Alligator mississippiensis: one gene and its partners. The protein of the gene in region 1 purifies or fractionates together with the protein of each later gene. This does not show direct contact. Links are inferred from orthologs where the notes say so. Each region holds a gene or a part of one and is shown on either strand. Other genes may lie near its edges.

Region 1 (10,082 bases):
ACAATAGATAAACAACTCCACATGTGTTCCCCATAAGCTGCTGGCAAAAATGGCTAGCATGATCCTTGCAGCCAGGGAAGCCATGAGGTGATTTCGCTTCTGTGTATGGCACCGGTGAGACAGACACTGGACTAAAGCAGCATCCAGCCTGGGATAGGGCCAGCATTTGTAAAAAGATGCTGAAAAACTGGAAAAGGTACAAAAAAACGATGAAAGTTATTTGAGAGCTGGAGAAAATGCCTGTCAAGAGAGCCTTAAAAACTCAGTCTTTATATTGACAAAGCCAGCAGATTGCCATGTGACTCCGCAGGGCTGCTTCAGTACATTTCTTGAGGCGTTGGATAATGGATACTAAAGGGCTCCTTACTCTCATAGAGAAAAACATAACAGGACATGATGACTGAGAGTGGAACCTAAGCAATGAGGGTGAGCAACCATTGGAATAAACCACCAAAAGACATGGTAGATTCTCCATCCTTAGTTGCCTTCAAATCCAAGACTGCCAGCTCCTGGGAAGATATGCTTTATCCCAACATGTTCCTGGATTCTTTCCTTAGATTCAGTGACAAAAGAAGGGGCAGCTGGGATCACCCTGTATAACCTGGGCTGTCCCTGAATGAATTCTTAATTAATATGGGTGAAACCGAGTGAAATATTATTACTTCCTGTAATACACAGGGAATCAGGTTAGATCAGGGATCAGCAATGGTTTTTGGCAGAGTGCCAAAAATAGTTTCAACCTCAACTTGTAAGATGTTGGTGTGCCAGGAGTGGACGTCAGGGAACTGCAAGGGGCTCAATCTTTGTTGTGGTAGTACAGCCCTGGCTACTTCCCTACCATCCACCCCAAGATGTGCATGCCAAGCAAAATGCCTTCACAAGCCACACTGGCACATGTGCTGGGGGCTGCCTACCCCTGGGTTAGATAATCTAATGGTGCTTTCTGGCTTTAAACAGAAATGCAGAGCTTTCGCTATCTCTTCTACCAGCCACTGGGGATCCTGGATGATCAGACAAGGCCTTTTCCAAATAAGCTGATATGAAAATAAGCCTCTTTAACTTGCAACTGAAGTGGGCACATGTTGCCTTAGTGACAGTCCCTAGTCAGTGTGGGGCTTACCTCCTGGAACTCGTTCAGAAAAGAGCGCTCGTATTCACCCCTGCATCTCCGCTCCATCCTCTCCTCAATCATCTTGTGCAGGATAGTTGTCACAGCATCAGAACTCACCCTTTCCAACAGGTTCAGCCTGTGGCTGCAGATATAGAGAGGGGGCTTCGTTTACAGCACACAGAGAAAAGCACAAAGCAAATGCCTAATAATGGAGCCTGGGAAGAAGGGAAGATGATCCCCACCTAGAAGAGGGTAAAATTGTGTGTCTACTTCAGGGCAACCGTCATGGTGTACATTTCTAGCTGGATCACCTGGCTTCTAGTCTGTGAAGAGAATTGGTTTTTCTCAGTCAGCAGGATGGCTATTTGGGGAGGATTGTCATCCAATAGGAAGCAAAAATAAAAATGAGGCAACTGGACCCAAATTTATATCATCAATAATTAATCAGCTAGGACTAATTAAAGAGCATAAGCATTTTGCAAGATCTAGGCAGGAAAGAAACTCCTTTCCAAAAACTTACAAACACACTGCTTTTTCAAAGATTTTTCAAGCAGTGCAGAGGAAGTAAGGAGTCATAGCTTTAAACATTTCATTTATTTCTAACATATGATATTGTAAAGAGCTAAATGTTTAACAGTTCCAGGTACATTTTAATTTCGGCTATTTGTGTTACGTGTTCATAGCACATGCTACTATTGGGCCCCAGATTGCAGCTATGCAAGAAGGAAAAAAAACCTAGGAGTCAAACATCACCTGCAAAGCAAGTGCATAAACAGGTTTACTCTTTAGGAGTAATCTTCAGGACATACAAAATCATAAGCCATTGCTTCCAGTCCATGCTGATGGATTGGAGAACTGGAGAGATAGCTCTCACCCCTCAAGTAAAGAGAGGAGGGCTAGATTTTCAGCAAAGGGACTATCTGGAGCTTGTATAAAGTTGATATAAAAAATAAAAAGCCAGAGGTTTTAAACAGAATAGGAATCCCTGAACCTTTCCAGAGTTCAGGATCCACTTTTGCTTGCTGTTTTATATCCAGGGATCCTGGTTTTCCCCAATAAAAAAACCTGCAAATTGTCTGATAAAAAACCCGCAAAATTTCTTATTAAAACTCCATGATTAAAATGAAAGGGCACTAATAGAGAGAGAGAGAGAGAGAGCGAGAGAGAGGTATCAGTTGAACACAATACTTTCTTGATAATATTTATCATTTAAAGGAATTTGGAAGCCTACCTGTGCCTCAATCATTATAATTAAATAAGTTCTAAACACCTATAAATTTTGGTATTTGATTTTGGGTTATCATGGAAAATCAGAGCTCCCTCTGCCCCCTTAGCTCACAGAACACAGGTCCAGGTCCCTCACTCCCAAGCCACAGCCCCCCCAGCCCTGCTGGTGCTCCTCAATGCTCACCCACAGCCCGCTGGACCTTGCCAGTGCCCCTCACTCCTCCGCACAGCTCCCCCAGCCCTGCTGGTGTCCCTCACCCCCCACCCACAGCCCCCTGCCCCCCTAGCCATACCAGAGTGGGCCCCCAGCTGGCAGGGTTACAGGGCCAGGGGTCCAGGTCCGCAGCGCTCTGCCCCTTGCAGCAGCTCCACAGCCCCAGCTGCCACCCACAGGAGGTGGCAGCTGCTGCAGCGGAGTGAAGCGGAGCACACCCCCTCCCCTGCCAGCTGTGGGCTTGGGTGGGGCCAGCTACCCATCGCTGCGCTCACTCGTGCCCCCTGATCTGTGCATGGCGCAGGGATGGGCTGCCTGCTGCGGGCTTGGGCTCCCCACCCTACTGCCCCCCCCCAGGCTCTCCGCAGCCCAGCAGGTGTGACCCAGTGTGGCAAAAAAGAGCGGGGCTACACACGGAAGCTCACTGCTGCTGCAAGCTCTGGGCTGCCCTGGCAAGGCACCCCCTGCCTGCATGGCAGCAACGAGGGCAGTGGTGTAGGGTTGTACCCCTCTTTGCTGCCATGTGGGCAGGGGATGCCTTGCCAGGGCAGTGTGGAGCTCTCAGCAGCAACGAACTTCCCCACGAGGCCCTGCTCTGCCCTGCCCTGCCCTGCTGGATCACACCCACCAGGCTGTGGAGGTCCCAGGGGAGGGCAGCAGGGTGGGGAACCCAAGCCCACAGCAGGCAGCCCGCCCCTGCCCAAATCCCCTACCCTGAGCACAGATCTGGGGGGTATGGGAGCCTCCTGTCTTGCAAGGAGCGCGCACAGTGGTGGGGAGCTGGCCCCACCCCCTGAACGAAGTGCCCACAGGCCCTGTCCCGCTTCTCGCCAGGGCCCTGAAGCTGCGCGTTCTGACCCCAGGCCACACACCCCACACACCCTCCTGGCTGGGCAACAGCTTCAGCCCCAGCCTCACCCCCACCCAACTCCCCCCTTCCCTATGGGGGCTTCAATCCCCCTCCGCTCTTCCCTGCCCCTGCTGCTGCCAGACCTACCTGCAGAGCAGCTCTCCAGGCTGCCTGGTGGCCATGTGTGTATACATACACATGACACCCCCTGCCTGAGCACCCTCCTGCTGCTCCCCCCAGCCCCTTGCAGGCTGGAACTCTACCAGCCTGCAGAGAGCTCTTTGCAAAAGTGCAAAATCTGTGGGTTTCTCCATTAAAATGAAAAATCCATGTTTTCCTTGGGTAAAGGGGGAAACTGCATTTTTCTGTTTTTCCATGGGAAACGGAAAACCCGGATCCCTGGTTATATTCACACGAGCTCTCCAGTTGCTTGTAATATCCTCTAGCTAACACACTGCAGATAAGAACTGCTTTCTAATGGAAAAACAAGCAAATATTTTCTAAACTCCTGTTCAGGCCTTATGTAGTGCCTCTTACATATCATCCTTAAGGTCCCAACAGAAGCATTAACGAGGCCACACTACACACGCAGGGTATGTGTGCACTATTTAGTACCTTGAAATTTGGCCAACTTCTTCAAGATCTTTAGTAGGCAAACGTGGACCCTTCTGGATCCCAGTGTATGCGCAAGAGGTCACAAGGACCTTCAATGCATTTGGCTACAAGTATGGAGAAGTGGGGGGGTGCCCAGACCTTCTATTCCCCCTTTAGCCCATTGAGACAGTATCCAAAGGCCAGACAGTATGGACATTTGGTGCCTCGACAGCTGTAGTTATAGGTGCATCCAAGAATCAAATCCAGGTCTCTCATGTGGCAGACAAGGATTCAACCACTGAACCACAACAGCAGGTTCAAGATCTTTAGCATCTGGGGAAAAGAAAATATTTCGCCTAGAATCATTGTCCCCAAAGGGAATACAAGCCTAAAGGGAGGTGATAATCTCACAGCAGTTACCAGGACCACTCTCCTGTTTGTCAAAGATCTGCTGTAGCTCAGCCACAGGTTATGGGCTAGATGCAGAAATCACTGGGCAAGATTTTCTGGACAATGCCTTGCAAGAAGCAGACTAGGTTAGGATGGACCTTTCTGACTTTCATACCCATGACAGGCCTGTAGACAGTCTACTTTCTAAATGGTATATTGATTCTGTCCAACAAATCCCTTTCCTCCCTCCCTCCAGGATACATACAGGATCTCACTGAGCTGCTGAAATTGCTCCATGGCTGTGGGACACCAGCACTGGTCTTTCTTACTGTTGCAGCCTGCACACTGCTGGCTGTCTCCTCCTCCCTCTTCTGTATCACTCTCTTGATCATTTTCACTCATACTGCTCTCACACTCATTCATTCCATCTTCTCCTTTCTTCCACTGCTGCATATATATCCTGAAGGTGCGGCTGTAGAACTGCTGGATCATCTCCTGGAAGGTCTTTGTAGTGGAGAAGAAGAGGATGGCTTTAAACATGGTGTACACTTTCTCTCGTAGCATCTGGGAACCCGTTCCAAGGAGCAAGCCTGCTTTGGTCCATTTTTCCAGAAGATCTAGACTGTTTAGATAAGGGTCTAGGCGGCACTTGAGCAGACAAAAAGCATCCAGGAGGAGTAAGGAGCACTGGGGCTCCTCAGCTGTGTTTTCATACTGGCCAATGCAGTTCCAGAATTCAGGAGCTATATTTGTCTGAAGATCTGTCTGTAAAACTTGAATGAACCATTCCTCTATGACACAGTGCAAGTCATAGCTCCGCAGCACTTCCAAAGCGGCCTGCAAGTCGCTGTCCTTCAGCGGTTCCACTGGTCCAGACCTGGGTGCTGCCTAGAGAGAGACACCAAGGTAAACGAAAGCAGGGACTCCTGAAGGGTGACTGAGGCTGGAGAGACAACCGGACTCAGGGGGCAGTCTACAGATGGAGCCACTCACCAGCCGACCCTTTGCTCTTGTCCACAGTAGGGCATAGCAGGGACTGAAAGCTACCAACTAACTGGCATCCGGCATCCCTCCTGGGCAGAGGGGCGGAGGTCTCAGCCCCACTCCTAATGGGTCGCTGTTCACATCACAAGGGCGACTGCTGTTGTGGTATTAATGCCGACTGCATCCCCAGCTGACATGGGAGCCGTGACCCGAACGGGCCCCGCTCCATCCCCTCTGCGGGTCACGGGCCACTGCCAGGCTCTCTCCAGCCTGAGCCAGCACACGAGGATGTCCTGCGCCAGGGCCGTCAGGGCGAGGCCTTCCACGGCATCGCTGCACTTCGAGGGCGATTACAGAGCACAAGGAGTGGGGCACCCTCCTTACGTACCCGTGAGCAGGAGGCCGGAACGGCGGCCACGTCGGAGACGACCGCGCGCGCACCTGCTACGCGCCCCCCTCGCGCCCCCGCGGAAATCCCGTGACAAATGTCAACGCTGGGAGCTGTGACTTGCCGCAAGGGGCCTTTTCCTAAGACATCCCCAGGCCCCAAGAGACTGCGCCCCCCCGCCCCCTCGAGGCCTGCGGGCCCGCTCGCCCCTCTCTGGGAGCCGGGGCATCGCCCCACAGCCGCCCGGCGGGGCTCAAAACAAAACCCCCGAGACCAGGCGCGGGGAAGGAGCGGGGCTGCGCTCCGCCGCCCCCCGGCCCGCACTCACCAGCCCCAGCGCGGCGGGCGGCACGAGGCCGGCGCCCAGCGCGTGCCAGCCCGCCGAGAGCCCCGCGCCGGGGGCCGCCGCCGCCATGGGCCGAGCGGAGCGGGGCGGGACGGGGCGGGGCGGCGCGGGCGCAGGAGGCCGTTGGTGGCGCGGGGCCGGGGCCGGGGCCGGGGCGGCGATGGCGCAGCAGGGGGCGGCGCTGCAGAGCTACAACAACGAGCTGGTCAAGTGTGAGGGCCGGGTGCGGGGCTGGGGCTGGGGCCGGGGCGCGGCGCGGCGGTGGCGGGGGCCGCGGGCGCTGAGCGCCGTGCCCCCCGTGTGGCGCAGGCATCGAGGAGCTGTGCGCGCGGCGGGACGAGCTGGGCCGGCAGATCGCGCGCGAGGAGGAGGAGAAGGGCAAGCTGCAGAGCGACATCCGGCTGCTGACCGAGCGCCTGGCCCGCCTCAACGAGGGGCTGGCCCGCAAGATGGCCACGCGCAACGAGTTCGAGCGCACCATCGCCGAGACCGAGGCGGCCTACGGCAAGGTAGCGCCTCGGCCCCGCGGGGCGCGGGAAACCGCCCTGAGCCGGCTGCAAACACGCCTCCTCCTGCAGAAGCGGCACCTGGGGACTTTCCCTTTGCAGCCCGCCCCGCACGCCGGGGTCCCGGCCTGGGGAGAGGGCGCCGGGTCGGGACGGGCCACTGATGTTTACAAATGGGGCCTGGTACAAAAAAGGTTGAGAAGCACCGTGATATTCTGGGGGGGCTGCAGCATGTAGTTTTGGGGCCCCCCCATCCGTGGGAAAATCACAGCTGCGGTAGAAACTGGCTGAAATGAAATGGGCCGGGCTGCGAGGTGGGTGCGGGGGGCTGGGGCGGGAGTGGGGCTGGGCGGGGAAGGGGCTCCCTGCCTGCATGGAGCCCTTTCAGGGTGGCGCAGGCGGCAAGCGGGCACGGCCCCTTGGCCGCAGGGTAGGACAGGCCGGCCTGGAGAGCCGCTGCTCTAGAGTAGTGCGGGGCCAACCTTTCTTATGCCGCAGATTAGCCCCGTGCCCTCCCTGGGTGTCACTGATCCCCTTTCCCTGCCCTATCTGCAGCTCTGCCTTCTGCTCCCTGCCCTTTGCTCCCAGTGCCCAGTCTCTTCCTCTGCTTTCAGCCAGCTCTCTGCTTTGTGATCCCAGTCTGATCTGCTCCCTGCTCCATCTACTGCTGTGCTGCCTGACCCCTCCGCCGGCACAGGCCGCACAAAGGATGCCCATGCAACTTGCAGTACTCGTGCCGTAGGTTGGCCACCCCCGCTGTAGATAGCCATAATTCGGCACACTGTCAAGAAGAGCTGGCAGCAGCAAGTGTAGCTGTGCATCCCTTCTTTAGCCTTGTGCACCAAATGGCTCAGTCAGCTAAAGGGTACTTGGGCATCTTGTAATGGACAGGGCTTAGAGGAGGATCTTGTGAGCTCACCCTAGGGAGTGCTGTCTCACAACTGTGAATGTAGAGAGTCAATTCTTGAAGACCCACAGTTACCAGGAATTAATGGTTCTGTCTAGCCCAGGGTACAAGCATGGATCATGGTCAATAATAAGGGTTGTGAAGGAAATCAAAATAGTGGAGGAAGAAGAAACTTGAACTTGTCTTCACTGCTGTGGGATTTTGTGCTGGGGTCTGTCTTTCTCTCTATGTTTGCCTCGCCCCTCTCCCAGTGGCCTTCCAGGCACGACTCTTAGTAGCTTACCCATTCTTAATCTCTTATCTCCTCTGAGCCTTCCCCTCTTTAGATGAGGACTACTGATCATAGTGACCTTCACTGTGCTCAAGGCAGCATTATGGCTTCAGAGAGCATTTGCTGCTGATTGTCCTAGATCAGTGTTTCTCACTCTGTTGGTTGTGACCCAAAAGTTGGTCACAAGACTATATAAAAGGGTTGTGAACAAACTTTAAAAATTGATCAACAAACTTAAAAAATGGATTCTCTTTTAGAGGAGAAAAACGTGGAAAACCGAGGCTCTTCCCTTGCAGACTGGCAGAGTTCCAGCTTCCAAGGGGCTACTTAGGGGCCCCCATGCCCCACGTACTGGGGGCCTGGGGGTGGGGGGCAGTGGGTTGGGCCTGGCCATTGATGTTTACAAATGGGTCCTTGTCCAAAAAAGGTAGAGAACCACTGTCCTAGATCACAAGGGACAAAGAGCTTTGGGAGGAGTAAGCTCTGTGTTGTCCCCAGGGGAACCCTTAAGGCTGTTGCGTTGTCATGGCAGAAGCGCTGCCTTGCATTGTTTCTCCAGTGTTGCCATGTTTGAGTTATGGGAAGACTGGAAGGGTGTGAAAAGCTCATGGCACTTGCAGTTGTCACGGCACAATCATGTTGTGGCTTGTGTGTGAACTGTGCTTTAGTCCCTTAGTACTTAGTGTATGAGTGTAACGAATGGAGCTTGGAAAAACTATGTAGCAGGGCAAGGAGACATTTCCCTTTCCAGATATGTGGGTTGTGGGGCAAAGAGGATAGTGTCTGCAGAAAGTGGGTCAAGCAGGTACTGCTACTCTGGCAGGAAGGAGGGATAAGTAAACTGCAAAATCCCATGGGGGTCCAAGACCCATGCAGCTGCCAGATACAAGTTTATTTATGTAGAAATTAAAAAACAGGTCTCACTGGCAAGCCATGAAAGAGCATTCGTTATTGGCCATTAGGCCTGTGTGAAGTGGCCAGCATTCGCTTCGGATTTGGCCAATTCGGGGGACAGTGTTTCGATTTGGTGATTTGAATCACTGTCCCGAATTGATTTGCCCGAAATCGATTCAGAGATTTGGCTCCTGTCAAATCTCTGAATGGCCCAGGCCCATCCCCTGTCCGCTCTCCCAGCCCACCCCAGCTCCCGGCATTTTGAAAAAAAAGAAGCCCCGACTCAGCAGGTGCTGCCAGTTGGGGAAGCAATCCCCACTGCTCCCCACTGCCCCGTGGGGGGCTCTGCACGAAACCTCTGCCCCCCTTTGCCCCCCAGCTTCCCTGTGGCTGCTCTACTCGCTGTGGTTCTGGCCCTTTAAGAAGAAAAAAAAAAATGAGAAAAACCCCAGACTCACCTTCCTGCTGGCGGGGCAATCCCTGCTGCCCTATGCCACGTGGGGGGGCTCTTCCAAGGAGATTTGGAGAGCTTTGAATTGATTCAGACCTTTAATGTTAATTGGTCCCCTGATTCAATTCAGATTCAGTGATTGGGCCACTGAATCGGGCCAAATCTCCTCTGAATCAAATCACCACCCGAAGCTTTGCACAGCCCTATTGGCCACGGTGGGAACTGGCTGAATGTGTACTAGCCCAGTGCTGTGCCTAACAGATCTAATGCAAGCCTTAGCCATATGTTCCTGTGAAAGCTGAGTTGAGGTAGAGATGGTATTGCCCTTGTGTACAGCATCAGTGAGACAACTACTGAGTATTGCCTCCTCCGTACCAAGAAAAAAATGTCCACGTACAGGAAAGTCATCAGAAGAGAGTTACAAGAATGATCCAAGCTCTGGAAATCCTAGCTTGCAAAAGACTAAGGAACTTATAATAAAGAGAAAAGTGAGAGAGAACTTGAGACAAAATATCTGGCTAGGGAAAAGATTTAGCAGAGTGCCCTTCACTGGAGCAGACAAGGCGGAACATAATCCAAAAGCCTGGTACACTTTTTTTAGTAGTGAGAGTACTTAGCAGCTGACCATGGGATGTGACAGATTCTGTCACTTGGCATCCTTAAATCAAGGATTTGTGCATCTTTCTAAAAAACCTCCTGTTCATCCCCTTGTTGCTGGTTTAATGCAGGAGTCACAGGGGGAGGTTCTCCGGTAGGAAGCCACAATGGTCCCTCCCAGCCTTAACATCTGTGAATATTAATAAATGGCCATTGCAATCATTCCATTTGACTTCCTCCAAAACACAGGCAAAATAACCCTTCCCTAACAATTCCAGCATCAAACCACTAGCTTGCTCTTCCTAGAAGTTTTAAAGACTGCAGTGGTAGAAAATTCCTCTTGACTATAAAG
Region 2 (10,091 bases), on another chromosome or scaffold:
TAGGTAGCAGACCTCTACCAAAATATCCTGCTGCCAGAAGCAAGCAGCATTTGCTAAGATGGTGTGTGCTGCCATGTTAAACCTCAGTGTGTCATCAAAGCAAATCTTAGACCCACTAAAAGCTTTACAGATCATCACTAGTAACTTGCTTCTGGATGTAGTTCAAGAAGTTAAACAGTTCGTAACATGAAACACTAGGGAGGTGGGCTCACAGTAACTCGCTTTTAAAAAGGTTTGCCACAAACTTGGGCAGTAAGTCTAGAATATCATTACTTTTCTGCTACACAGACTTCCAAATCAAGATTCTTGCAATATGGGGGACACTCTCCTCCTCCCTCCCCGACCTGAGATGTTTCGTTTGGCATCTGCCAAAATCCAACGAATGTTTAGAGATTGGGACTGTATAGCCCTACACAGCACAAAATTCACACCATACCATGTCAAACAATGTGTTTAAATCTATTAACATCCTATGCAGAGTAACGATTCAAGAACACTTTAATTCACCTTGATTCTTACCAGATGGTGTTGATTGCTCTGGTGTTATCTCCAGTGTGCACAAAAGCATATGCTTTGATCCACACTGAAAGCCAGTCCAAGTTGGGGATACTCTGAATTACATTCATTGTCATAGAGGCCACTTCTGCACCTTTTACTGAGAGGGAGAGCAAACCTATTCAGAAAAACACACCAGTCAAGTTTCAAGTAACCAATGCAGTTGGTAATACAAGTTAGCTAACTGTTTTAAAGAATGACAATTTAATTGCTTTGTAAACTTATACGGATTATTATAAATAACTGCCTGTATAATTCCTAGATTGTATTTGCTCATTTACTAAGTCTCAAGCACTGCATGTCGGTAATAACATTGTTTAAGATTAAATATTTAAGTATTTGGTAGAAAAAAAGAACTCTACCTAGTATAGCATCAAGCGCTAGAGGACACTGCCTCAGCACTTCTTTATAGCTTGTAACAGACGACCGTTCCTGACCTGCCTTCTTGTACAAATTTGCCAACATCATGTTAATCTGTAGAGAGAGAGGGAAAAAAAAGAAAAAAAAAAGTATTGGCTGTGATAATCCAGTCTACAATTATGTAGGGCAGAGGTTCATCACTGAGAGAAGGCCCTAGATTCATTACAGCCCCATCTTTCCAGCTCTAAGTAGAATACAGAAGTTATGAACCCAGCTTTACAATTCCTTGTATCCTGTAAAATAAGTGTTTCTTCTGATTCAGAAGGCAAAAACTGAGGTAATTCTTTTATAGTTGCATAAGGCCTCTGAAAACCTCAGTTTTGCATATATTAAATCCTGATATAAGCAACTATCTACATATGTGGAAGTGATACCTGACAAACAGCTGCATCTTACGTTGGTTTCCTTTCACCAGCTTTCTCTACATAGTGAGGAAAGGCTGCCAGAACTGTAACCTTTGGGAGGTGGAGGTTTTTTATTTAGGTTCTGAATAACTTAACTGCTCAGGAAATAGCTTAAATTCAGGTCACTGCAGCTAGCTTTTGTGGCACAGTTATTTTGGTTTGCTGACATACAAGGGGAAGAAACTGCTTGGCCTCTCAATGTTTTCATTTTTGTGCAGTAAGTCTGGCTTATGGCAAGACACCTTGTAGTTAGTTACACTGGCCAAAATGTAATGCTAACAGTCAAACCTCAGTTAAAGTGCACAAGGTGTTAATGGTTCAAGAGATTAACTAGATGACAGAGCCAGCAAGCAAAAGACTCAACATTTTTGGCTCTGCATGCTGCTGTGATCTAAATATTTAGCACTACATAAACTACCATTAAACCAGGGGAGAAGAATCTTGAGGGAACATAGTTGCTGGGTTTTTCCCTTCTATTCATCAGGCCAGGAATTTTCTTCAGCCTCAAGAAGCACACGCTGCTGAGGTCACAACAGACAGCAGCACTTCGTTTCCTACACAAGCTGTCCTCCTAGCAGCATTCAGGAATCTGGTGGGAGGATCACCATACTCAGAGCTAGGGTATTTACCAGCACAGCAATTAGTCTTTGTCTGGAGGAAAGTAAAAACCAGGTATGAAAGGTTTTGGATTGTTAACAGACTACCAGGCAAAAGCAGAATGTTTGTAAGTCTGGTAGAATCCTCAGTCCTAAATGAGTTAGACACATACCACTAGAAGTTAAAGGGTCTATTCTTCCTCACACAGGAGAGATTTTGTAATTCCCACTAGTAAGTTACTCACTAATTTTCACAGGAATTAACTGGGGAAGACACACAAGCGTTTAGTTCCTTTTAGTTAGGTGATTTTTTTTCAAATAAAATCCATATTGCGATCTCCTGCTTTAAAGAAATGAGCTAAATGAACTTAGCTAGTATAAACTACTGAAGGAGCATTTCCAAATCTCTCATGTGGACGTTGCAACCACAAGTGCCAAGGGTTGATGTCTTTATATATACAAAGCTAGATTTGCAATTCTGGCCAAATTAATATTAAGCTCCAAATATACCCAAACTACCCTCTCAGCAGAGAGAGGTAGTTAGCTGCCTTAGTCTGATGGTACACAGAAACCATGACAGGGCGGCACTTACAGCATAACTCGTTCATGGGCATAAGCTTTTGTTGGCTACGGCCCACATCTACTATGTTAGATGCATGTGAGGAAGTAGGCTGTAGTTTACAAAAGATCATGCCTTTCTGGTATCCGTGCCCTCTTTAAGGTGCCACCCTGCCCTGCCCTCTGTCTTCTCAGACCAGAAACACATCCAGGGATTTACCTTTGGGGTTCTTTGTCTTGAAGGAATTCCATCCAGGATAGCAATGGCATCTTTATCTTGCTTCAACATTGTGTAACACTCAGCCATTTTATATTTCACTTCAATTTCAGATGGCAGACACTAAAATAAAACAGATTGCTAAAATATAACCTCTCAAATGCTGTTTTAACTACATGAAAAGAAATGGCTGAATCATAAGTTTTCTATCAGATTTTTCATTAAAGATAAATAAAGTGCAAGGAAGATGGTAAGCTGTACTTGCATAACTCAGGCTATTTTGTAGCTTCTAAATGAAAACTGTAAATTTAAGAAGCAAAATTTTGGCCCCAGGTAACCATCTTATGTTTTTTCCATGAGTTCAGCGCCATTAGTAGTTAAACAGTCTAAAAATTCAGGCTACTTTAGTATAGCAATGTTATAATCTAAAGTCACAACATGAACACACCAACAGCCCATGTCACAACATGAACACACCAACAGCCTAAGTACCTGACTTTGTGGAGTTGATGCAGCATTCCCAGTAGAGGGTCTAACTTTTGAAGTTTTACTTAATGCCTTCTTCTGCTGCAAGGCCATTGTATACTTACTTACAGCATTCCTATACTCCTTGTCATGAAAGAGGGAGTCTGCATGATACACAAGCAGCTGGTACTTTTGAGAAGGGGAGAATAACTCTCTGGAAGAAAAAAAAAAAGTGATGCTTAACTGAACTGTCTGATGACAGGATACGGACAAATTTGCTAGAACCTAAGTTCTCAGTGTTAGGAAGGAGGCCCTTAGCTATGACCCAGAAGTGGAAGACGTATGAGTGCAACATTTGCACCTTTCATTCACAAGTGCTTTAACCCAAGGCGAGAACAGCCTTAGCAACCCTAAGCATGTCTTTAATGACTCCCGAGCGGTGAATACTGGGTGCGTTTACATGTTCTTTAATGCATGTCGTTACGGCGCATTAAATTTAGTACCTGCAATAAAATAATAGGTATTAATGCATTGTAATCGGTGCCAGTGCACATTAGCGCAGATGAACATTTTTTTGTGACGTTAATGTACATTAGACTATGTCTACTGTACATTAGCATGGTTTTTGCCAGCCGCCCTAATGCGCAGTAGAATTAGTCTAATGCGCGTTAAACATCTCATGTAGACGCACCCTCTGTGAATCATCCTCTTGAAGAGCAAGCGGACTTGGATTTTAGAATCAGTACAAATCCGGAGCGATGCTCAAACTTGTGCCTCTACAGCACCAGTTCCCAAACCGCGGTACACGTACCACCAGCGGTACGCGTTCACAGATTTATTATAATGACTTTACGACAAAAACGTGCTGGTGCCACGTAACTCTGAACTGAAACTTTTTTGGTGGCACTGAAGTTTGTATCGTTTTAAACTGACGGCGCGCAAACCGCTCCTCTAGAGACAACGCTGCCGCTGCTATCCAGTCACGCGGTACTGAACCCGTCACTATCTCGGTTAAAACATCTTCAAAAAACTCTGTTCTTGATCCGAAGACATCAAGAGATAAAATGCGTGATTTCCTTTGCCAGGTTAGTCATGCCCGTTCAAAATCGGTCCCTCCTTCCCACCTCGAATCGCCCGGCTTCAACTCGCTTCTTGTTACGCCGTTCTCTGTTAGGTTAAAGGGAGTTTTTTTGGACCCAAGATTTTCTACCACTGAAGGGCTTCGCTTACTAGCCCAGGCCGCGCTCAACCTCTGTTTTGAGAAGGGCAACAGAAGTCTCTCAGGATGAGCGGTTTCCCCCAGCCCTTCAATCATTTTGGGGGCTCCCTGCCAGACCCTCGCTCCGAGTGCAACCCCCACAGCGCACGGGACGATCCAGCCCCGGGGGAGGAGCACGGACAGGTGGGCGCGGCCAACTGTCAACCGCCAACGGCCAACCGTCAACCGCCAACGGGCGCCCCGCCCCGCCCCGCCCCGCGACTCACGGGTTGTTGCCGCTCATGGTGAGCAGCAGCCCGCTGAGGATGCGCACGTTGGAGTGCAGCCCGGCAGCCGCCATCTCCCGCACGTGCTCCACCACGCTCATGTCGGCGCTGAGGCGGCTCCGGGCGGCTGAGGCGTCGCGAGCCTCCAAAATGGCGCCGCCGAGGGGGCCTCGCCCTCAGGAGGATATAGGAGTCCGGGGATGGCGCCTGTGCCCGCGCCTCGGATTCACGCCCTGCTGATGCCTGCCACTGAGACCTCCCTCCCACCCCCTTTGCCGCGCGGCCGGGCACAAATGGGGAGTTTTGCAAGCAGGCACTAAGGAGGACGCCTCAGGGGTAATGCCGATCGCGCATGCGCCGAGGGAGGGGGAGTGCGCAGACGCCAGCTGGTGGCCGGCGTGCGCGTGCGCAGTGGGACTCGCTCGCGTGTGCGGCGCTCGCCAGCAGTTTTGGCAGCTGTGCTCGCACTGCCCTTGTGAATTCAGGCCGGCTGCTCAGTCAGTAACAGAGGACAGGAACGAGCAACGGCTGTGGCTGGGGGGAAGTGGAACAGGACTCAGAGGGGTGTTTCCCAACCAGTGTGCCATCAGCACTGAACAGATGCAGAGTTTTGTCATGGCAATGAGCTACAACAGGTATGAGGAAGGGGAATGCCTTAACAAGTGTGCCAGGGCAGTTGTTATTAATGCAAGTGAGCCTGGGGCTGGAAAAGGGTGGGAAACACTGCTGTAGATCTCTGCTTTTAACCCAGCAAGACAGTTAGATGTGGCCGGTGCCGCAGAGGGGATCTTGTCTTTCTTTCCTTCGCCCAGGGTGGGCCGATCCTCAGTCTCCTCCGTCCGAACGAAGAGGTTCAGGATCAGCGCTGCTGCGTTGGGTTGTGGCTGGCGAGACCGCAGGGGCAGCTGGGTGGAGCGTGGCGCCGGTAACTGCTGAACGAGCATTGGTGCAGAGGAGCACGGCCCTGCTACAAAGAGCTGGGATAAACGAGTACAGGTTTGTAAACTGCAGCCCTACTATTAGTTCTACTCGGCTTTCTACAGGAGCACTTCCCTTTTCATTTTGCAAGGGCTTAGTATGAAAGCCACAGCACCAAGCACTGGTTACTTAAGCATAAGACAGAGCCTCTGGCAGCACTATACTACTGGGTGCATTGAGACTTCAATCACCCAGGATCTGATTTTTTAGAGGTGCAGAATACCCTCAGCCACCCTTCCCGTTCCAGCCTTTCTACCAGCCTTCTCCGCCAGTAGCTGCTTAATCTTTCATCCTCCTAAAACATCCTTCTTCCACACTGGGTGCTCTACAGAAGAGTGCCCATTGCAAGAGGCAGCCATTGGACTCCTGCCAACAGTAGAACTGAATGAATGCTTTTAGTGCATGAGTGTAAAAATCTTGACTTTTCAAAATTAATTCTTCAGGCTTTTAATCTGATATGTAAGCAGGCAGTATATTTCAAATAGATAGAAAGTGTAAGAGGTGAAGCTAAGCCTGACACCTCAGATTTTGTTTAAATCCAAAATTTGAGCAACTCAGTTTACTGCTGATGGTTTCATATTCCAGCTGTAGACATCCCATCCAAGTGTTCTTCTTTAATAGCTTATCAGTCCAAAGTATTGTTCGCTATTTTCTGAGTGTTCCAGCTCTAAGCCATCCACTCCCCTTTCTGCTCCACCCCTGTTTAGTGCGCAACACTTGCCTGAGAAGAAGAATGCTATGAGGTGATCAACACTCGATGTCTTCTGCAAATCTCCCTTAATTAGAACAACAAGTTACATCTATATGTCAGCGGTTGCCCTAATGCAACTATATAGCCAATGGCAGCTTACAGCCCAGAATGACGCCGGTCTTCACGCAGGTGGCATCATCACAGTGCTCACTGCAATATGATCTTTATTGAAAAACATCTCACAGAAGAGAAAGTGGCCTGAATAAAGTCTTCAGGGTCAGGATCCCTTGTGTTTAATCCAGCAGAGACAGAGAGAGAGAGAGACTTCCCAGTGCAAGGGTGGCACTCTGGAGTCCCAAAGTAGGACGGACCAGCGACTGAAGTAGGGGCCTGGATCTCAGGGGGAAGTCCTGGCCGCATTCAGTGGCGTCGAGAATTTATCCCAGGATTCTACTCTCTGTGCCTGTGTAACCCTGGGTAGCCATTTACCCTTGCATCTCCTTCCTTTCCCATCTGTGTTATTTAGACAGTAACCTTGTCAGGGCAAGAAACATTTCTTACCACAGGTTTCTACAGCTCCTATAAAACAAACCCTCAAATTTACTTGAGGCTTGCTGGCACAAACATAACAAATCAAGCTTTCATTTTTGTATAGCTATCCACGTTCATAAGAGATAAAACAGGTATCATGTGAAATAAGCTAAGTTTATTAGAAAAAGGAGTAAAATTCACCATGCTTTACAATACAGCCTAAGTGGCAATGACTCTAGCCAGCAGAGTAACTGCAGGACACATGTAAGACACATTATATATGAGGCAACTGATAATAAAAGCAGCATTGATCTGAAACAGCATGTTAGAAATTGTTTATTAAGCACCAGCTTAATATTGTTCACTTACAGGATTCAAGGGTCCTTTTGCTCCACCTCCCCGCATTGACTGACAGCTTTCCCTCATAAGCACTTATTCTTCCTTGGTACAAAACATGTATGAAGCAAAAGCAAAATATTTTTTACACCTTGCTGTAGACTGCTTAACCTTGTTGCCACTCCTCTTTGCTTCTTTACTGTCCTGGACCTGACAGGCTCTTATTCATGAACTGTCTCTTCACAAAGCAGATCCACCACTAAGAGAGAAATCCACAGTGAGATGATATACCAGAGGAGTTTCCAAGTAAGCAGTCTACGTAAACAAAGCAGGACTTGTGTGTTCTGCCTGACACCCACTATGTAAAAACCCAACTCTGCACAGACCAGGGATCCAGTTTTCAACAGTGGCTTTAACGAGTTTTAGGCACTCAAGGCAGGCAATACAGGATAATTCAGATTGTAACACTGGGACACTTGCATTAAAATACTCTTTAAGGTGGTTGTTTCAATGTTAGCTTCCAAGTATCTTGCTTATTTGGAAAAAAAGGAGAGACATACACACCTCAAAGTGTACTGCATGCAGTTCCAGTCTAGATCTGGAAGCTAAGCAGTATTTGGGGGGGGTGGACGTGGTCTTTAAAACTCTGAAATCTTTTCAGTTATTTCTTTCCCAGAAGTGGCCATTTAAGAAAGCCCCATACCAGTTGCTTTAAAAACATGACTCCTTGCCTTTGATGCACAAGTCTCTGGACCAGACTCTAGACATCAGGCAGTCAACACTCATTCTGAAACATAACTAGCTCAATAATATTGAAGTTACTGTTCAAAACTGGCCTAAGCATCTGAGCAAATATGCAAAATGCATCTACCCTAGGCTGTAACCTCTTCTCAGAAACGACACACCAAGGCAGGCAGAAATGAAAGGAAGGAGTTAACTCAGGGATGAGCGAAGTCTGGCCCATTCAGACCCATGGTGGACTCCCTTTTCCCAGCAGCCTCTGACTGCCTCACTGCAGCCAGTTTCCATGGAGACCCCAGAAGCAGTGGGTCCAGGGTTTCCATGGAGACCGCCAAGCAACACTGGCAGGGCAGTGGCTGGGCAGGGAGCTGTTCCAGGGCCAGGAGCTTGTGGCGATGCCTTGGCTCCAGCCCCCACTGTCAGAGCGGGGCATGCAGGTAGTGAATCATGGCTCTGCCCCAGTTTGGACCACGCTGTCACCACTGCAAAATCCCACCCCCAGCCCTGGAGCAGCTCTCTGCCAGCACTGCTTGGGCCGTCTGCATGGAAACCCTGGCCCCACACTGGCACAGCCCTGCCGCTCCCAAGATCTCCATGGAAACCGGCCCCAGCAACACTGGGAAATCTACTGGCCAGATCCACCGTATGGCCCATCCCTGCGTTAACCGATACATCCGTTAGCAAAGTGCTTTTCCCCACACAGGAAGAACTGCATCGCTCACTATGGAAGAGGCCAAGTACCCTCAGTGCCAGACGCGTTCTCTTCTATGCAGTTGAGTGTGACCAGCTGGGACCTAGCACTTTGCAGGACTGACCAACAAACAGACTGTTGCCTCTGTGTTCTTGGACAGGATGCTTCTGCCTGTGCAGCCTAGCCTGGCTTTTGCTACCATCTCACTTACAGACTCATCTAAATCACAGGGCGCTACCCTCCTATCCATCTCCCTGCTGCCTCTGACTTCCGTTCTCCAAACACATGCCTTAGGGAGCAAATCCAGAATTATTTTCTTTTCCCCTGAAGCTGACATTCCCCAAGTGTCCACTAATCAGGAAAAAAAATGGAGGCCAAAAAACTGGGATTAAAAAAAAGAAAATGTATTGACCAGTTTGTGAGAACAGCATCTTACCTTGCTAGGTTTGTCACTTTGGGGATCAAACACCTTTTCACAAAGCCTAAGTCCAGTTTCTTGTCTCAGCTGCTGTAAGTAGGCCCTCATCACCTCTGGAAGAGAGCATGGACCAATACAGATTGGAGTGTGCAGTGTTAGATACTGTCTAAGAATAGTTCTGGCAGCCAACAGCAAAGCCATCTGATGTGCTGGCTAAAGAGTGGATTAGCAATGTCTGCACCCCTAGCATCACCTTCTGTTTTCAACACTTGCTGAGCCAGGGTTGCTTAGTCCTGAGCACAGCAGGGTAAATTACCACAGTTTAGTTTCCCGTGTTGTGGGATTGGAGCAGAGCTGCTCACTTGACAGGATTAGCAGGGATACAGCATAGTAACTCTGTCCCAAACTCAGTCAGACTCCAGGTACACAGAGAAAGCAGGACCACTGATTCACAAGGCAGTTTGACAGCCACAGAAATAAAGCAGGCTGTTGGATCCATGCTGTAGCCTGAAGTTAAGTGACAAGGCTGCTTTTGTTCTTACCGTCCTCTTGCTTGTTGGAAGGTTTGGCATAGATGGCATTGAGTGGAAAGCCAGGCTCCCCAGGTATCGGGAAGTTAGTGATTCCCAGCGTGTACATTTCCTTTTCTCCTTGGCCTTTGGAATTACACTGGAAAAGCCAGGAAAGAGACCAGTTCAAACATACCGAGAGAAGCTGTACCACTTTAGATATAAAGTATGTAGCTTAACTAGGATATTGATACGGGACTACCCGTGGGAGAAAATACTGAAGGTGTCTTATGTATTTGTCCCTGATTAAATGAGAAGTTTCTTTACACAGTTTGGGGGCCCTGTGCACTTACTACAAAACAAAAGGTTTTCTGAACTACCAGGGGCTCTGGCAGTCGGGCCTGAAGCCAGCTGCACGTATAGACTGTACCGATATAAACCCTTCTTGGTTAGTAGTACAAAGTACTTTCTAATAGATGCACCAGTATAACCCCCA
Region 3 (10,060 bases), on another chromosome or scaffold:
TTCTGCTCCAAGGCATTGAAAGTTTAGAATGAGTTAGCTAGTATTGATTAGCTAATATGCACCCATTCAATGACCATAACTTCAAACTGTGCATACCTGTAAAACAGGACTATCCACAGTGAAAGCCTTATAAACAGTAGAGGCTTGGCTTTTACTTCCTTTGCTCCAAATGACCACATTGCCAGCCACATACAATTCTTCATCATAGTCCACTTCTTCACCGACATCACTGACTCCTTTCCTCAGCTGCCAACTCTCCTGTAAATCATAAGTTTTAAGAAAACATTACACACTCCTATCAACTGAAGGATGATTTAGCCACAAGTCTAGTGCAACCTTAAAGGTGGGTCTAGCTTTAGTTTTATTAATCAGTCAAATAAAGTCTTTGGCTATTATTGCAGAGCAGAGTAGATTTTGGTTTCTACTTCTCTTTTCTAGAAGTGGGAAAACATAATATCTGTTACACTGAAAAACTCTGCTTACAATCAAAGGAGAGGTCAGCTATGTGGTGTACCAAAACACAGATTAGCCACTGTGTCCACTGTCCTCATTCTGTTACAGCAAGAAATTCAGGGATTGTTGCTACTGTGTTTCAGGCAACCCAATAGTTTTTCAGGTGTTTTAACCTGGTCTGTTTGCAATCTTTGGAAAGCAGGAGGGGAGGGATGGTTACAATACCAAAGGTAGTTAGTTGCATTAGTATGAAGTCAGGCAGAAGAAAAGGTAGATATGCACTTCACAGACAAACTAAATATATATAAAACAAGATTAGCTTGCATGATCCCTTCATTTCTATGGATGCTTGTTTGCCTTGCCCAGCCCTGCCATTCTTCCTCCCCCTCCCCCCACCACCTTTTGTATTCAGATCACTCACTCCACTTTATACACTGCTCTGTGCGTGTCCTCTCACTTCATCAGATGCTGTAAACTCAAGTTCACAAAAGCTTATGCCCTATATATCTTATTTAAGTCAGTTTTTAAGGTTCATCATCTACCCTGCCTTCTGAAACACCCAAGGCATATGCACAAACCCCAGTTATAATGAATTATTATGAATTATCTTGAACTATTTTATTTTATTTTTTATTTTTTTATAATCCATGCCATTTAATCTTTGTACTTCTTAAAGGTTAGTTTCAAATTCAAGTTCTCACTTCTGCAGTGATTGGGTTGCATCCCAAACAATCACTGAAATGTCAAAATTACTATTTTCATTGTTTAAAAATAAAAAAGTATAGAAATATTTCTAATAGCCTTAGCTTTTATAAAACCTTGTGCTTACAAAAAATCTAAACTTGGAGCCAGCCTGGAGTCGAAAGAGGCAGAATAACTCCACAAGTAAATGGATATAGTCCAAGCTTTCCTTTCCAGCTCGTCTCTACCAGCCCTAGAAACCTCTTTTAGAAGGGGGGGCAGGAGGGGGGTCTCCATGCCTGTTTGCTCTTCTGCTTGTTTGCAGAGATTGCTGATATATGCACCAATTATGAAATGCTCAGACTTATTTCCTTACTACCCTCTCACAATATTTTCCCAACCAAGAGAACAACGCAGTTATATTATAGTTAGAGTGCTGGAACACTCTTCTATCTGATACCCAAGGGCTTGGTTTACCAGAGGTACATTCCTTCCCAGCTGCATACAAACTCATGCATACACATCTCAAATCATGGATTATGAATAGCTGTAAACATTACACATGTCCAGCTAGATTCTGACAGACAAAAATAGAAAAAAGCTTTGCTTCTTTTACATGCAAAAAACTAACAAAAACAAAAACAAAAAAGATTAATCCATAATTTGCAGAAACGGACGATGTCAGAAGCAGTATTTTTTTGTTCCTTTAGATAGAATCTTACACTTCGCAGCCACCTGTGATGGCATAAAGCTTTTGCCCACCTGATTGTACAACATTTTATCTGTGTATTAGGGTTTCACAATCAGTTATGGAATACATCAAAGTAGGAGGGAGGGAATGGAGTAGGCATCATTACAAGTAAGATTGCTGCTGTGGGGGGAACTATTTGGGGCCTGTCCTACACACAATTTTCATACTAATCTAATGGTAGGTTAGGAACATCACTTTCTATCAAAACCATTAAATCAGTCTCACTGTTCTTACTCCAAGTGTGTCCCCACTTTGATGTCACCTTTGCCTGTCATCATTTCTCTCCCTTTCTTAGTCTTTCCTACTGGCTACATAAATCTACATCAGCATCCTCATCTCCATCACCCATATCATGGACGACTATTGTTTCTTTGTTGGCCAGCACTGATCTATACAATAGCACTGGCCTTGCCACTCTTAGAAAAATGCCAATTAATCTGGAAGAAAAAATTTACATCGTAAGTCATGGTAACCAACCCCACTTTATCCTTTATTTATTCTGTTCTTAATTTTCTCATCTGTCTCTATTTTTTCCACAATGGCGCTCGGGTACTTGAACGTATATGCAGGTGTGTGGGTCATCCAATCCCAGGGGTGCACTCCCTGAATAAGTGCATGACATGTATTCCATATTTTTCTCTGCTGATCCATAGACTATGCCTTTTCAGGATGTCCCTCCCCCTGCTCAAATCATTCTCTGCCTTTTGCAAAACCGACCACGTAGTCTACAAACATTATGCAACGTCATCCTTCTGAATGCTCCTGGTGAACATATCAAGAACTAATGCAAACAAAAAACAGGCATAGTGCTGACCCTTGACAAACCCCAACCTCGACTGGGAAATCCCGCCTTCCAGTGTGCGCTTCTAATTTGTGGTTTTGAGCCTCTACACTCATTTTGCACAACCCTCACACAGCTCTAGTACTAGTTGTTCCCTCATATATCACACCACTTCTCTTAATAGATACATGGTCACGTGCTTCTTCCACGTTAACAAACACCAGGTGAAAATTCTTCCCGTCTTCTCTGTACTTTTCCACTGGACATCTCACTGAAATAATTGCATCATTCGCTAATTTACCTGGCACAAATGTAAACTGATTTTTGCCATTTTTTACTTCCCTTCTCCCTCACAGTTTTAATTAACTCAGTATAAAATCTAATGTAGACATGTTTATATCTGTGCCTTGTAGCTGAAGAACTGCATCCCCATCAGAAGTGTGTTCTTATACTAATAGTTAATGTGGTATAGCTTTTGTATGTAAACTTGCCCTTTTGTCCTTTTCTTCATAGGGTGGATGTAGTTACTGCAGCAGCTTGTTTGTAGAAGCCAGATCAATGAAACCCATGTGACTACACATGGCTAGACAGAAATGTAACAACTGTGCTGAACCAGAGCACATCACTGCAATGAGAAACAGTGCAGTAAAATGTACTATCTATATTTTTACATGCGTTTCCTAAACAAATACATACAGCTATCCTATTTGCTCTTTGGAGGGAGTTCCTCAATATTTGGAGTTTAAGCATATATTAGTACATATATTATGTATTTTAGTACGTATAGTTCAAATAGTTAATGAAAAGTTTTTTTCTTCAAGCTCATTAGGTTTAATCATCAGAATAATTGTTTAATCAGTAAGTCCAACTCTACCTTCTGTTTTTCGTGGATTGTCACCTCCTGAAAAGATCCCACAAGGCCAGCAGCTCCATCAGAGGACCATAGCTCAGAAGCTGGCTGCAGCTCCCGCAGCTGAAGGTTCAGGGCATTAGGGTGGTGCCTGCAGTAGTCACGGCCAAAAGGAACAAACTCCTGCAAATCCCCGGCTGCAATCATCGTTGCCCTCTCTTCATGCTTGTTCGACATGGGTTCCAAATATCAACATTATTTCTGAATCCAAGACAAAACAGTCATCAGTGCCAGTCACGCCTCCGATGTCATGCAAATCACCTAGGTAATATTTAGCAGTTCACAACAAAAAACCTTTGCATGTAAACATGGATTTTCAAGAAAAAGAAATACGGGGAAACACATTTCAAGGCTCTTCAAGGTTCTGTAGTGTACAGTTCTGCTTGCCAGCTGACTTGCTCACTTATTCCTATTTCTCCTGAAGCCTGAGCCAAGCGTCCCAGGTTTTCACAAAGAAAACCACCAGGATAGCAGCGATTCCAGCACTGTCTGCCAAGCTCCTTACCGGTCCCACCCTTCCCACAGCTCTGTCCTCCCAACCACTGTACAGTGAGGCCACAGAAAAGCCTCCGCCCTGGCCCAACCCCGCTTTGGAGGGACCCTTTCCTGAGCTCCCGGTGAGGTGTCCGGGACCGCTACCCATACGCGCTCGGGCGCGCACGAACCTGCCTGCCACAGGAAAAAGGAGGGGCGGGGGGAGGGCGGGCGCGCGGCGGCAGCGGGACCGGGGCTCCTTCCGCAGAGCGCAGCGCAAGCCCCAGCGGCGCCTCACGCGGGCGCGGCCATCTTGGAATTCCCACCACCCTCCTCGGCTCGCAGGCTGCGTCACCGCGGCGGGGGGCGGGAGACCTCCGGGCTGTTGTCGCGGCAGCGGGGTACGGCCGGGAGGAGGGGACAAGACGGATGTACCATAATGATGGTGTTGGTGCCATCACTTCAGCCTTCGCACCATGTATGATTAACAGGGACCCTGGTTTTCTCTGCTTAAAAAAAACCCAACCCATTTCGGATTTAAAAAAACAAACACCCCACATCCACATTTTTCCGTGACTAAAATGAAACACCACTCTCTCTCTCGCTATATAAGTTGTGTAGGTTGTAGCCGTGTTGGTCTAAGGACATAGGCAGACAAGACTCTTTGGGTAAATCTAATATCTTTTATTAGACCAACTCAGGCAGTTGGAAAAAAAATTCTTTGCAAGCTTTCGGGTATTTCATAGATTTAATAGATTTCACGGACATTCGGGCTGAGCTGGAAGGGACCCTGGAGGATCATCGAGGCTAGCCCCCTGACCCAGGGGCAGGAAGTCAGCAGGGATCATAGGATCCCAGCAAGATAAGCATCCAAATGTGTCTTGAAGGCTTTCAGAGTAGGTGGTTGAACCACCCCCGACGACAGTCTATTCCAAACCTTGGGGGCTCAAGCAGTAAAGTTCTTCCTTATGTCCAGCCTGAAACGGTCCAGCGGAGTTTGTGACCGTTCGACCTTATCATCCCTTGGGGCACTCTGGTGAACAGACATTCCCCCAGATCCTGATGAGCACCCCTGATAAACTTATAGGTGGCCATCAGATCGCCCCTGAGCCTGCACTCTTCCAGGCTGAAGAGTCCTATGGCTCTTAGCCTGTCGTCGTAAGATCTGTTTTCCTGACCTCTGATCATGCGCGTGGTTCTTCTCTGGACTCTCTCAAGCTTCTCCACATCCTTTTTGAATTGTGGAGCCCAAAACTGGACACAGTACTCCAGCTGCGGCCTCATCAAGGCTGAGTACAAGAGGAGAATGACGTCCTGGGATTTGCTTGAGAAGCATCTATGGATGCAAGCCAGCATTTTGCTTGCTTTACTAGCTGCAGCGTCACATTAAGGCTCATGTTCATCTTGTGGTCAATCATGACCGCCAAGTCCCTTTCATCTGTAGTGCTAACCAGCGTAGCACTGCCGAGCCTATAAGCATGCTGCAGGTTTTTCCTCCCAAGGTGGAGAACCTTGCATTTTTGGGTGTTGAACACCATCAGGTTCTCATCTGCCCATTTCATGAGCCTGTCAAGATCTGCCTGGATCACCCTCCTGTCCTCAGGTGTGGATGCTTTACCCCAGAGTTTGGTGTCATTGGCGAACTTGGCCAGTCTGCTTCTGACACCAGTGTCTACATCACTGATAAAGATGTTAAACAGTAGAGGCCCTAGGACAGAGCCTTGAGGGACCCCACTGGTCACAGGGCACTGTGACAATTGGCTTCTGTCAACCACCACCCTCTGGGTCCTACTGCAGAGCCAATTCCCCAGCCAGTGGATCATGGTGAGGTTGAGTCCACAGCTAGCCAGTTTTGCCAAGAGGTGATCTTGGGATACCAGATCAAAGGCTTTTTTAAAGTCAGGATATACGACACCAATCTCTTCCCCCTTGTCCAGGTGATAGGTCACCTGGTCGTAAAAGGAAATGAGATTGGTCAAGCAAGACCTTTGTAAGGCTGAGGAAGCAAGAATTTTTTCCAACTATTTGAGTTGGTCTAATAAGAAATAGCAGCTTTACCCAAAGAACCTTGTTGCAATATATTAGAGGCATTCCATATTAATCATGGAAACGTGGATTTGGGGTTACTTTTTTAAACTGGAAATTGGGGATTTTTTTTCAGAGAAAGCCAGGATCCCTGACAATCAATAATAGAAAATGTGTTCAGAATGTACCTATTTTTGCGGCAGCTCATTGACAGCATATTCAAAACCCAAGTCACTTGCAAGGAGTCTTAACAGGCCTTTGGGTTTGCTGTCAGCATTTTCTTATGACAGCTTACCTCAAAATAAAGAAATGCTTCCAGTTGGATGGCCCAGTTCTCATGGTGACTTACAATGAGCAATATAAAGTAAATAAGAAGGCTTATTTGTATATTCATTTGCAATTTTTTTCAGTGTATGGTAGTTTTTCAGTAAATACAATAATTTCATACTTAAGACCTGGCAACACTAGACCTGCTGCAGAGCTCCTGGCAGTGTATCAGTGGCCCAGAGGGAAGGGACCTGCTGCTGCCACCTGGCTTTCGCCATGGAGGTGGAGATGGAGGACAGTGATGCTGTGGCAGGAGGCCCCTGCCCCAGGGTAAGGCAATGCCCAGGCATGCTAATGGCCCTGTGGTTAGGTATAGGGGTGTGGGGCAGAGCCATCCACGCTGCCCGTGTCACTGACAGTGGGGGAGGCAGCTTGGAGGCAGGTGGGATGTGAAGCCACTGGTACAGACACACCACCCTACAAGAGCTTCTGAGGACTTTTTTTAAGTTCCCAAACATGTAAGCATCCCTGATTTTTCTCTGCATGCTCTAAGGCAGGTGCCCTCCCCTCCCCTTCCCAGTCACTGCAGTTTTCCCATTTGTTCCAGAGCTGGGGATGCTTCTGTGCTGGGTACAGTGCAGCAACAGGAAGGGGCTAGGTTCCTCCACTCTGCCCATTCCCCCCAGGAGTAGGCACTGTGGCTGCCCCCTGTCCTCCCCCTCTCCCCTGCAGCCCAGTTGGAATGAGTAGGATCAGCTCTGAAGATTTCACCCCCCCCCACCCCCTCCCCAGGAAGTGGAAATAGGAGCAGGACAGGTGGGGAACAGAGGAAGGGGAAGAGAGGAGATGTGCCTCTGACTCTGGAGGAGAACGGAGGATTCTCGTCCACTTAAAAAGAAGTCCCCAGAGGCTCCAGCAGCACAATCCAGTCCAAAAGAGGGATGTAGTCACCCTACTGCACCCCCTCTGGATCCACCCCTGGGATGAGGGGGCAGGGTGCCTTTGCTGTTATTATTAGAGCAGGGAACCAGCCTTGGAAGAGGGAAGCTATCACTCAGCTTTCACCAAGGCAGCGGGGCTCTCTGTCTTGGTGTTGTCACCATAGTGGCAGGTTTTGCTCAGGGTGGAACTCAGCTGCCACTACTGGGATGTAGAGGTAGGAGCAATGGCAGCTGTTCAAAGAGAAGAGAGATAGGGATCTCCAAGAAGTAAGGGAGCTTGGGCATGTCTGTACCGTGGTATCCAGGGAGGTATTGCACAGGAGCTGCTGCGGCAGAACCTGGGCACTTCTCAATGCAGAAAGAATGCTCTGCCATCTGGGTTTACTGGGAGAAAGTAAATCAGGCATAATGCAGAAGTCTCAAGCCTACTATCTAGTTGGGATTCTCAGATACACATTCTGCCCCTGAAAACAGGATGGGCGAAGCTCCTCTACCTCCAACCTTTTGGCCTGCAAGCCACTTCCCTTCCATTTCTTTGGAAGTTGATCTCCCCAGTTATGAAACAAATAAGAGTGACCAGTTGGTTACTATATTGTGAACTGGCTACCCACAATGTGAGGGAACCCCATGCACCCCTGGGCCCAGCAGACTGCAGCTGCCGCAATCCCCCAGGCCCAGGGGACCAAGGCAGCCACAATCCCCCATGCCTGGGGGTTTCACAGTAGGCAAGGTGCAACCCTGTGGCTGGGAGGTCTGTCAGCTGAGAGGATTCCCAGCTGCAGGGGAGACCCTGCTTACACATGCAAATTAAAGCTAGATAGCAACCAGCTGTAAAGTTGTACACATTTTCAAGGTCTAACTTTATAGTTGGTTGGAGCTTTTTATTGTGTATTATAACTACTTTGCAGGTGTAGCTGGTATCAAAGTAATTGCACAATACCTGTAACATGTAGAGGGGGCTTCAGAAGAAGGTGTTTACAGGTAACCCCTAACTGAGCAGCCCCTGGCCACAGTCCACAAGTGGATGGAAGAATTAGAAATAAATATGTATAATAATGATTTCTCTTTTGCAGTTCAAAGTCTCATTTCTATTCTAAATTCGTATTTGCAGTCTCAGTTTCCCTGTAATGTCCAGATCACTGAAAATGACCCTAGTGTCACTACATCACTAATTCACAGCCATATTGAACTAGTCTTATGTCATCCCTTTAAAGAACCTAGTCATCTTTAAGAGTACAAGTTTTTTTTCATCAAGCAATTGGCCCTTCTAGCCACAATAAGCTGCCATGCCAAGCAGCCTCCATTAAAAGGGAACATCTCATATTCCCTCCCCCAAGAGGAGGGCTAGAGAATGAGTAGCTTTACAGAAAAATCTTTTTAAAGACACCCTATAAAAATCTTTTTTAAGTTTCCAGATTGTGTCATAAATGTCTTGCAACTAAGAACATTTGCACTAGTAAATTCTTCAGCTCCATACAGCTTAAGAGTTCAACTCCAGATAAAGAACAGCCAAACAAAATCCGAACATAAATGGACAGCTCTTAAGTCTCCACTGCTTTCTGATCAAACATCTGTTTTGTTTCCCCTCCCACAAGAGCTATCAGAGCTTCTGTTTAAGCTCCTGGTACAGAAACTCAGCTCTGGGCACTTGCTAAGGCTCAAAAGTGTTCCAGTCTGTTTCTCTGAAACTTCTGATCTTTTTTAAAGGGATAGAGTCAACTGCAGAGAAGGGGACAAAATCTTCCTCTGTTTTCTAGGATGGGGGGTTGTTTTTGTGGTTGCCTTAATGCTGCCAGGTGGTTTACTACTTTAGAATGAACTTACAGACAGCTGACAAAGACTGTTAGATGCTGTGAGCTAGACTCCATGGAGTGGGTCACAGGAAGACACTTTTGACTTCTGCAGTTATGTGAACAAGCTGCTTGTGGGAGGGCCCAGTCGCCAAGCTGGAGCCCCACTAAGTACAGTGTGGCTCCAGGCAGGCAGAGATATCTACCCACATGGGACCCAGAGCAGGATCAGGGCCTCTGTCAGCTTCTTCTAGTTGTGAGCATAGGTGAACACTTTAAAAACAGAAAGCTGATTGCAAGTTAGGAGGGGTACTCAGCATCACATTTAGGAGCCAAAAGTAGTTTTTAACTTTTTTTTTAATTATGGCTGCCTGACAGGACTTCCCCACAGGGTGTACTGTTTGGCCAAGTGCAACAGAGCTGCAGGGTACTTCCCAAGAGGCACTGAATAATGAGTGTAGTGTACCCCATCATATTCCTCAAGCATTCTGCCTTACAAGGAGAAAGGTAGGATTTTTAGGATGTCATGGTTTTCTGGACAGGAAGTACATTGCACCCAGAGCCAGATTACATAGCAGCAAAGATTTAAAAGGGACCTCATATCTAGGTCATGGTGTACTGTCCTCTGCTAGAGCAGGCAGCTATTCCATCTGATCCCTATTTCAGATTTAAAATGTGCAGCTGATCTAAATTCATATAACTCTACTGTACTCTGAGCTCCCTCAGCTGACACCAGCAAAGAACCTAGCCCATAATATGCTTTTGGTCAGAGATTTGGAGATGGCTATTCTCTTGTCCTTGATGGGACAGAAAGGGTTTGTTGCCTACTGAGTTTTTTTAAATACAGTCTCTGATCTTTCTAAATATCAGTGCAACAAATGAAAGCCTAACTGCATCTCCAGCTGCCAGCACTAGATGTCAGGCAGTTACCATTCTCTGTTAACTACCAGGGGCAGTTATTGTTATCTGTTTTTCCAATGAGTCTAG

The links.
Region 2: the proteins of ANAPC2 (region 1) and ANAPC7 fractionate together in Homo sapiens (co-fractionation; 6 studies listed by BioGRID and IntAct, with this or other methods). This does not show direct contact. The link is inferred for Alligator mississippiensis from reciprocal best matches to the Homo sapiens genes ANAPC2 and ANAPC7.
Region 3: the proteins of ANAPC2 (region 1) and ANAPC1 fractionate together in Homo sapiens (co-fractionation; 8 studies listed by BioGRID and IntAct, with this or other methods). This does not show direct contact. The link is inferred for Alligator mississippiensis from reciprocal best matches to the Homo sapiens genes ANAPC2 and ANAPC1.

Annotation. Positions count from the first base shown.
Region 1 is NC_081835.1:47,567,382-47,577,463, forward strand, and holds the start of ANAPC2 (anaphase-promoting complex subunit 2), read right to left. Parts: upstream 6,190-10,082; 5' UTR 6,174-6,189; coding exon 6,087-6,173; intron 5,275-6,086; coding exon 4,652-5,274; intron 1,254-4,651; coding exon 1,121-1,253; intron 1-1,120. Other genes in the region: microtubule nucleation factor SSNA1, read left to right, coding at 6,265-6,316, 6,414-6,613. UniProt on the Homo sapiens protein: Together with the RING-H2 protein ANAPC11, constitutes the catalytic component of the anaphase promoting complex/cyclosome (APC/C), a cell cycle-regulated E3 ubiquitin ligase that controls progression through mitosis and the G1 phase of the cell cycle.
Region 2 is NC_081833.1:2,205,100-2,215,190, reverse strand, and holds the start of ANAPC7 (anaphase-promoting complex subunit 7), read right to left. Parts: upstream 4,873-10,091; 5' UTR 4,802-4,872; coding exon 4,701-4,801; intron 4,291-4,700; exon of another isoform or gene 3,921-4,290; coding exon of another isoform or gene 3,907-3,920; intron 3,430-3,906; coding exon 3,243-3,429; intron 2,874-3,242; coding exon 2,754-2,873; intron 1,030-2,753; coding exon 918-1,029; intron 674-917; coding exon 520-673; intron 1-519. Other genes in the region: ARPC3 (actin-related protein 2/3 complex subunit 3), read right to left, coding at 7,433-7,495, 9,105-9,199, 9,629-9,755. UniProt on the Homo sapiens protein: Component of the anaphase promoting complex/cyclosome (APC/C), a cell cycle-regulated E3 ubiquitin ligase that controls progression through mitosis and the G1 phase of the cell cycle.
Region 3 is NC_081824.1:237,109,184-237,119,243, reverse strand, and holds the start of ANAPC1 (anaphase-promoting complex subunit 1), read right to left. Parts: upstream 4,363-10,060; 5' UTR 4,242-4,362; intron 3,778-4,241; 5' UTR 3,754-3,777; coding exon 3,541-3,753; intron 259-3,540; coding exon 97-258; intron 1-96. UniProt on the Homo sapiens protein: Component of the anaphase promoting complex/cyclosome (APC/C), a cell cycle-regulated E3 ubiquitin ligase that controls progression through mitosis and the G1 phase of the cell cycle.